Saccharomyces cerevisiae S288C: one gene and its partners. The protein of the gene in region 3 binds, or shares a complex with, the protein of the main gene of each other region. Each region holds a gene or a part of one and is shown on either strand. Other genes may lie near its edges.

Region 1 (2,756 bases), on a different chromosome or scaffold from region 3:
GTCTTACCTCTTATGCCTTATTGCGTTTTTCCAAGCATCTGCTCCATATAATAAATGTAACTACCTATCAACCAACTTCCATGTACCTTACCCAATTGGCCTACCAAGTTTTCGTTACATTGTTTCGACATGATATCTAGTTGTTTTGTCGTTTCCTGTAAATTCGTTTGAAGCTCTCTAAGTTCGTGTGCAAGCTGATTATACTGCCTTTGTTTGTTAGCGTTCATTCTCTTGCCTGAAATTCTTTGTGTCCTCTTCGTTTTGAAGTTCAAATGTTCTGATATGTTCTATTTCGCCATTTATCTTGTTGATCTTTCTTCCCACCTTTACAAAAAAATAACGTTGATTTCAATGGGCATGATATAATATGAGCAATACAAAACATCAAAGCCTTCTTAGGAGTGTTACTTTCAAACATGGATCTATAAACAAGTTATTCAATGATTAAACTATATACAGATGAAATTTTTATATCAATAAAACGATCTTTTACGTATCATTCAAAAGAATTTTGGGGCCTTTCTAATGGAAATCTTCGTCCACTTGGGCACCTTATGAATACCCTTCCTATAACCAACAGCTTTTTTATCAAAAGTCCAATATTTATCTTTAGAAGACATTTGATTCTCCTTTGGAAAGACTGATGGTTTGTTTAACAACCTTAACGATTTACTTCTTGGCTTGTATTTCTTTTTGCTCTCCATGGCTTCTTGATAAGTAAGACCTTTATCCTGACATCTTTGGACGTGGAGACCTAAAGTTAATTGCTTTATGACTTGATCAACGTTTCTTAATCTTTCCCTTTGACGGGTTTTTTGATGTGTGGACATTCTCCATGGAATTTTCCATAGTAGGCCACCAGCGACGGGGCTTGTTAATTTGAATGGGCCAAACATTGGAGTCTTATAACTTGGGTAGCCTTTTAAATACGTCTCCTTCCTACAAAGTACGGATATCTTTTTTCCCTCTTTGGCTTCCCTTTGTCCTTTTGTTATACCGTTCTCTTGAACTTTTTGAATGCTCTTGTACTTCTCCGATTATAAAGTTGAAAACGGAGTGCCCTGTATTTATACCTATGATAGTTTAGGAAGATTTAACCATAATTAAAGCCAGAGATACAAAAGTCGAATATCTTCAAGTTATCTGGAACAACTTTCATATATTTGATAAGATGGAGCAAAACAAAGATCCGCAGATGATCTCGAAACATAGTTCTAGGCTACCTATATGGGTGCTAAGTCCTCGCGAAGAACAACAGGCTCGCAAGAACTTGAAGACGGAAACATACAAAAAATGTGCAAATTTTGTTCAAGCAATGGCAGATTGTGCTAAGGCAAATGGAATGAAAGTTTTTCCCACTTGTGATAAGCAACGAGATGAAATGAAATCGTGCCTCCTGTTTTATCAAACAGATGAGAAATATTTAGATGGTGAAAGGGATAAAATTGTTTTAGAAAAAATCAACAAGCTTGAAAAGTTATGTCAAAAACAAAGCTCTACAAAATAAGCTGTGTTGATTGATGTTTTTGATTTACATCTTTTAAGGATTTTTTGATATATCCATTCTTGTACATAAATTATATACACACAGCCCAACAATAAAAAGGAAAAATTAATACGAAGGGTATATATGTATGGTATAATACTTAAGTTCACTACAACGGACGTTTATAGTCAGAATAAATCGAGGAGATCCTGTGACACTATATTGCCGCCCGAAACATCGGGATTGTTTTTACCACCAGAAGATATACCGTTTGAGTCGCCACCTAGTTTCAGCTCCTTCAACCCTTGTACAGCCTTGGTATCATTTGTATTTATTTGTGTGGCATCCTCAGATGGTCCGAAATCAAATAAATCATCCAAATCGCCTAAAGTTGTTAAAGTATTCAGCATTCCTGCATTTGTATTTGTTACATCATCTCTTTCATCAAAATCCAATAGCACATCATCGTTAGCCTTGCTAGAAATTTCATTTTTTGCCATGCTTTCTAATTCCTCTATATGTTTTCCTTTAACTATATTTTGAACATACTTTTTGCCTTTTCTCCTATTTGAGTCGGGCTTGAAATAAATGGAACTTATAGTACCCAATTCCATTAATAGTTTCTCTAGCACTTCTGGTGAAAACTTCTCCAGTGTATTGGAGATCATTGGAAGTTTATTTTGACATAGATCATTAACCAAACTTTCATTATTTGGCATCGAAAGGCATCTCCAATACATCATAGCCATATCTCGCACATCTAATTCATGTGTCTGTTGTGTGGCCAATTCTAGGACGCTTTGTAGCATACTACCCGTTAAAGTAGCATGTAGTCTGACTATTGTCATTAGTAAAGACATCTGTGTTAAAGCTTCCTCTTGAACAAAGTTCTCTATAAAAATATTGATTTTTGACTCCAAATCTGAGAAATTGTTGGGATGCTGTCCTAGCAACCAGACATAGTTGCACTTCGCAATATCTGATTGTAATAACACCTCTGGATTTGACCAAGTATTAAATACTGCACAAACTTGTTTGGCCATCTTATCGTTTCCGGGGCAATGTCTTAATAAATCACATAATGATATACAGCAGTCGTCTTTTATTGTGTCTTGTCTTTCTAACAATTCTAGGAGAATATCCAAGACTTTACTGACGAATGATTCTTGTGCATATTTAATACCCAACTGGGACAAAGCTTGAATAGCTCTTGAAACAAACTCAGGTTCATATTCCATTGCGTATTCCTTTAATTCTGTCAACAACAAAG
Region 2 (3,206 bases), on a different chromosome or scaffold from region 3:
AACATTAAAAGATAACGTCAAGTTTAATAAAGGTCTAAGTGTAGCCAACATTTATGCAAGGAAAACTTTTATGGCTAGTGTATTGCACCTACCGGCAATTCTAATCCTAGCCATTATACATAAAAAAGGCCGCTGGGATTGGATATATCCTGGTGAAGCAAAGCGACCACAGGAACGATTTTAGCATTAGTACAATGAGATAAAGAGACAACGCTTAAAGGGCAGTCATTAATCTTGTAAATAAATATTTAAACCCTTTTATTGGTTAAAAATAATGTACATACGCACATAATTTATTTTTAAAGAAAAGATTTTGTAATTTGAAGTCATCACGTTTGCCCACATCAATATCTGAATATTCTTTGAACTTTACTTTATGCTTTCATATATACAGGTCGAATATAACTTATTTACTACGTGAATAGTGAAGGGGATATACTGATTAAAAAAATCACACTAGAGAATCAAATATAAAAATAGAGTGCATACACTTGGTACATTTATTCTCTTTTTTGTTTTTCCAAAAATTCAAAAACCCTCGCCCCAATAGCTTCCATGTCCTCTTCAGTTAGTTTTGGTACTTCTCTCTCAGCCAACTCCTTTTTTTCTGCCAAATGGCTTTTTCTTACCTCTGTTAGGGGCATCTCAGGTGCTACTAGCTTAGCTATATCTTTCGCTGTCAAGGTACCCCTTTTGTACTTAGAATGAGGATTGCGAATACTTGGTATTGCCTTTTTTGGAATAGGGTTTCTCACTACGGAATCGACCCAAAATGTTTGTTCTCTAGCAATTACAGGATCGGTAGCCAAGTTCGTTTGCACATCAATTGGGTCTGGTTTAGGCCATGGAATGATCAAGTCTGGTTGACCCTTTACGCATCTATATGGCATTACCTTTTTGTAGTCTGCATCATAGTAGGAACCATTGAAGGAAACATCCCTTACTGCCACCGTTCTTGTCTTTCCTGGGGTCTTTTCATCGTCAATATCAGCAACTAGCCTTAAATCCTTTCCCAAAATTGAAACTGGAATTGTTATCATGTGAGATGTTTGGCCTTCAAGCCAGAATTGTTTAGGAACTGGAACAGTCTTTGTGGGCCCATTCTCATCTAATATGAATGAATTTGTTCTTTTATCGAAAGATTTAATTACAGCTATATTTCCTTTGGAAGCCCCGCTCATTACTACTACTCTGTCGCCAGGTATAAACTTCCATTCTTTTTCACTCTTGAAACTAGTTTTCTCATCTACTTCCTTTAAATCTGACTTCATGAACTCAGGCGTAGATTTTTTAATGAACTTTTCACTATGAGGAAGAAAGTTTTTGGGTCGATTCCCCAATCTTTTCATAACACGCGATCCAACGTTTGATAAATGTTGATAGCTTCCAGACATGATGGATTACAAATTTTGTTGCTGATAATGTTCTTTACGGTGGATTACTCTTATCAGGTAATCCTTAAGTAGCTGTTAAAGAGCAGTAGGTACTTTTGAATCTAACATGTCGTTATTTTTCATGTCGCTTTTCAACCGGGTATTTTACAATGCTTAACAAAAAATGCATATATGTTGAAAAGTCACTTATGTAAACGTACAGTTGTAAGGTGCTTTCTTTTTACTCTAACCTCCACACTGAGATTGTTGGCGTAACTGTAGAGAGTTACTCATATGCTGCTAGACTTTATGTTGTACTTTACTTTTGCAAAGTACATAATACTATTCTAGATTCGATCTCCATCAACCTCGCAGTACAGCCTTGGACAAATGCGCAATGCAGGTGTTCAAGTTGACACAAATATGCAGAAGATAAGCTTACAGGACACAGTTCTAGTCAACGAGATGAAGGGGCGGGTGAAATTCATTGGGGAAACTCAATTTGCAAAAGGCATATGGTACGGCATTGAACTAGATAAACCGTTAGGAAAGAATGATGGAAGCGCTAACGGTATTCGTTACTTTGATATCGACCTGAAGAAAGCTAATTCAAATGGTGGTTATTATGGTCTTTTCTGCAAGAAAGATACGTTGCAGTTTTATAAACCAGATGACGATGAGCATAGTTTGCTAAATGGTAATGCAGCGCAAGAAACAATTAAGAATCTACAAGTAAAATGTGAATCATTGGCGTCCAAATTAAATAAAATTAAAATAGAAAATCATGAGCTGAAAACTTCCGTTGAAAAGCTGAGTACTAATGAAACTGTTCTATTGTCTAAAATCTCAAGATTGGATAAACTAGTCAAAGAACTGAAAGTGGAAAATGGTAATATGAAAACTCATTTGGATAATTTCAATCACCTATTAGATGCTTCAGATAGTGTAATGGCACCGGATCTCGACAAAGGCACACTGTTAGAAAGGAGCCATCTTCTTCAGGGACTACTCGACCAAACAAAGTTGTCATATGATAAAGCTATGAAGGTGCAAGAGGACCTGCTCGAGGAGAATACTCAGTTATTAGAAGAAAATGCAGTATTATCTAAAAAAATATCGGATTTAGGTCTGCAATTGCAACAGACTAATAATACAATCGGCGACCTTGCCTTGCAGATTGAAGCTCAAAGTAAATCATCTAATATTGTTGATAAATTGACTAATGATAATATCCTACTCACAAGTAATATAAAGGCTTTAAACAATGAGTTGGAGGAACTACAGGCAAAAGAAAAATTGGATGAAAATTTAAGAATTACCTATGAGCAACTCGAGCAAGAACTGAGACTGCAATTAAGTAATTTGCAATCTGCATTGGAAAATGAAAAGGAGATAGCAGGCACATATATCGAAGAAAATTCAAGATTAAAAGCAACATTGGAATCTATTGAAGCCAAAACATCTCACAAATTTCAAAGTCTTGAACTAAAAGTGAACACTTTACAGGAGGAATTATATCAAAATAAATTGCTAAAGAAATTTTACCAAATATATGAGCCATTTGCACAACCACATTTGGCGGCTCTTTCCTCTCAATTGCAATATTTAGCCGAAGTAATCGAAAGTGAAAATTTTGGAAAGTTGGAGAATATTGAAATCCATATAATTCTAAAAGTGTTGAGCTCTATCAGTTATGCGCTTCATATTTACACCATAAAGAATACTCCCGATCACCTGGAAACGACATTACAATGTTTCAAAGTAAATATTGCTCCGATTTCGATGTGGCTAAGCGAGTTTTTGCAAAGGAAGTTTTCTTCTAAACAGGAAACC
Region 3 (2,857 bases):
GCGTTTCTGTTCTTTATGCAATACCCTTAAACTTTCTTGAGCGGATTTAAAAGAATTCTTGAGAAATAGGTGTAACTTTATTCTTCCTCCGTTTATTTTGTTAATTCTCTTGTGCCAACCGTCTTTCATTCGAGCTTTTGTTGTATACCATAAAATAACTAAGTCTGTTTTGTATCGTCTCCAGCCCATTAGGTCATCATCCTTTAATGGGTATGCAATATGATTGTCGAAGTCGACGTAGTATTTTCCTGAAGGAGCCCACTGACTTAAAGAGTCACTTGATGAATCGTAAGATTTTTTATCAACAAAATCGATATTGCCGTACAACAGCTTCCTTTCATTATTACGTAATGACTGTTGTGATTTAAAACCTGCCAACACATCACCAGTCAGGGAATATTCGAGGGCGAGGTATGAAAAGGTCATGGAAAGCAATGAAGATAGCATGATAACATGCCACATCTTCAATTTAGCAGATTTACCCTCACTTTTATCTATGATATGATCCGATAGTGTGCTAGAATTCCTTATCGTACTATCCTTCAGTTTCGACCCCTCCATACTTGGCAATACCGTTCCGCCAACATTTGAGCCGGACAAAGTATCAAATGACTCTGAAATAGTGGGAACTCCAGTTTGATCAATATTAACTCCAGCATTACTAAATTCATTAGATGTTCTAAAATCGTAAATACGATTCATCTGTGCAGACTCTTCACTGCTAGTGTTCGATAGGACATCTGCATCGAAGTCCTCGTCGTCCTCTCCTGCAAAGGAGCTTTCATGCAAACTATCCAAAGATATTTCTGACTTCGATGACTGTTCTTCCCCTTCTCTCCCTTTACGTAATCTACGTAATCTAACTAAATTCCAATGATCGTCTTCTTCTGACATTTTAGGTCCGACAACTCGACTGTTTTACTAGTCTCTATTATCGTCACTGCGTATTACTCTGCTACTGTGCTTGTTACTTTATACCGGAACAGTAGCTCCTAAACGATTATTCCAAATGAAGAAAAACGTTTGGCCAGTAACCTGCATAAAACTGAATAACTATAATGATACTCCGACTAATAATATATCCCAATGCCCCATCTCATCTGTGTAGATCAATTTTTATGGCTCGATCCAGGTACCTTGATAAGCAGCTGTCGCGCAAAGGGGTTACCGCAAAATGGATAGATGGACCGGGGGCACACCGGGGTAGGGGGTCCGGAGGGTTAACTGTCAACTCCACCCATACAAGACCGCGCAGAAATCGTCGCAGGACCCCGCCGAACGGCGAAAGCAAATATGCAGCCGTAAAGACCTAACAATAAACCTAATGTAGTCATAGGGCTAATTGATTTTAAATATATGACCTAGCTGACTATTCAAGTTTGCCCTAATTGATGAGTTTTTGAAAAAAAAAACAACTTAGGTTTCGCTATCCAAGCTTATGCTATGGGAAGCGTTGGAAAACTTGCATATAGTATGAACAAGAGCGAGATATAAAACTATAACGGTAGATGGAAAGTAAAGAGTAGACAAGCTCGGAAACATGGAAAATAGCATGATGTTTATATCGCGTTCCTTGCGGAGACCCGTTACTGCTTTGAACTGCAATTTACAAAGCGTTAGAACAGTCATATACCTTCATAAGGGTCCGAGAATTAATGGTTTGAGACGAGATCCAGAGTCGTACTTGAGAAATCCTAGCGGGGTACTCTTTACTGAAGTTAACGCAAAAGAGTGTCAAGACAAAGTTAGATCCATACTACAATTGCCCAAGTACGGAATAAATTTATCAAACGAACTGATTTTGCAGTGTTTAACACATAAGTCGTTCGCACACGGGTCAAAGCCATACAACGAAAAACTGAATCTGCTAGGAGCACAGTTTTTGAAACTACAGACGTGCATTCATTCGTTAAAGAATGGTTCGCCGGCCGAGAGTTGCGAGAACGGGCAACTTTCTTTGCAGTTCAGCAATCTGGGAACAAAATTCGCTAAGGAATTAACGTCCAAAAACACAGCATGCACATTCGTTAAATTACATAATCTAGACCCTTTCATATTTTGGAAGATGAGAGACCCAATAAAAGATGGCCACATAAATGGTGAAACCACGATTTTTGCTAGTGTCTTGAACGCATTTATTGGTGCAATTCTGTCAACGAATGGATCTGAAAAAGCAGCTAAATTTATCCAAGGAAGTTTGCTGGATAAAGAAGATCTTCATTCCTTGGTTAACATTGCTAATGAAAATGTAGCATCTGCAAAGGCAAAAATATCCGACAAGGAAAATAAAGCATTTCTGTGAAGATACAAAAAATATAGTTGATGGTTCACTGGCCAAAAATGTATAAAAGAAAAATTTATCTGTAAATAGTGATCGAAATAAAATAAGATAATAACTAAAGAATATATATGACTTTACTGTACAGATCTATAATTGAAAAATGACGAGAGGTCCTGTGAAAGAGTCTGCCTGTTCGCCATCTTCACACATTCAACCAATTCCCTGGTGCGCTTGGTTACTTCCATCAGGATATCTGCTAATTTTTGATAGAATCGTTTCTTCCCAAGCTTTGTGGAATCGCATCCATAAGTACACAATTCCGATAACTTTTGCGAGCAATCTGTGAGCCTTTCAATAATTTCTTTACAGTGCTCGCCTAAATCCAGTTTAAAACTTTTTTGGACCATTGCTTTGGTAGTCATATCAATCACCGATTCCAAAATAGGAATAATCTCGATGGAATTTTGACATAATCTCGAAACTGATCTTGCGGACTTGAACAATTTTGATTTAGAGGCTTGAACATCATTCAAAATGCCCTGCCTGCCATAGGAAGAACAACCATTGATTTACTCT

Evidence for each region.
Region 1: MRPL15 (region 3) and MRPL31 share a complex: the UniProt entries of both Saccharomyces cerevisiae proteins name them as parts of the mitochondrial large ribosomal subunit.
Region 2: MRPL15 (region 3) and MRPL40 share a complex: the UniProt entries of both Saccharomyces cerevisiae proteins name them as parts of the mitochondrial large ribosomal subunit.

The regions. Positions count from the first base shown.
Region 1 is NC_001143.9:184,786-187,541, forward strand, and holds MRPL31 (mitochondrial 54S ribosomal protein mL60 MRPL31), read right to left. Parts: upstream 897-2,756; coding exon 501-896; downstream 1-500. Other genes in the region: HSK3 (Hsk3p), read right to left, coding at 18-227; CMC1 (Cmc1p), read left to right, coding at 1,172-1,507; APL2 (Apl2p), read right to left, coding at 1,675-2,756. UniProt on the Saccharomyces cerevisiae protein: Component of the mitochondrial ribosome (mitoribosome), a dedicated translation machinery responsible for the synthesis of mitochondrial genome-encoded proteins, including at least some of the essential transmembrane subunits of the mitochondrial respiratory chain.
Region 2 is NC_001148.4:221,331-224,536, reverse strand, and holds MRPL40 (mitochondrial 54S ribosomal protein uL24m MRPL40), read right to left. Parts: upstream 1,395-3,206; coding exon 501-1,394; downstream 1-500. Other genes in the region: COX10 (protoheme IX farnesyltransferase), read left to right, coding at 1-184; NIP100 (Nip100p), read left to right, coding at 1,764-3,206. UniProt on the Saccharomyces cerevisiae protein: Component of the mitochondrial ribosome (mitoribosome), a dedicated translation machinery responsible for the synthesis of mitochondrial genome-encoded proteins, including at least some of the essential transmembrane subunits of the mitochondrial respiratory chain.
Region 3 is NC_001144.5:757,940-760,796, forward strand, and holds MRPL15 (mitochondrial 54S ribosomal protein mL57 MRPL15), read left to right. Parts: upstream 1-1,540; coding exon 1,541-2,302; downstream 2,303-2,857. Other genes in the region: ATG39 (Atg39p), read right to left, coding at 1-894; SPH1 (Sph1p), read right to left, coding at 2,811-2,857. UniProt on the Saccharomyces cerevisiae protein: Component of the mitochondrial ribosome (mitoribosome), a dedicated translation machinery responsible for the synthesis of mitochondrial genome-encoded proteins, including at least some of the essential transmembrane subunits of the mitochondrial respiratory chain.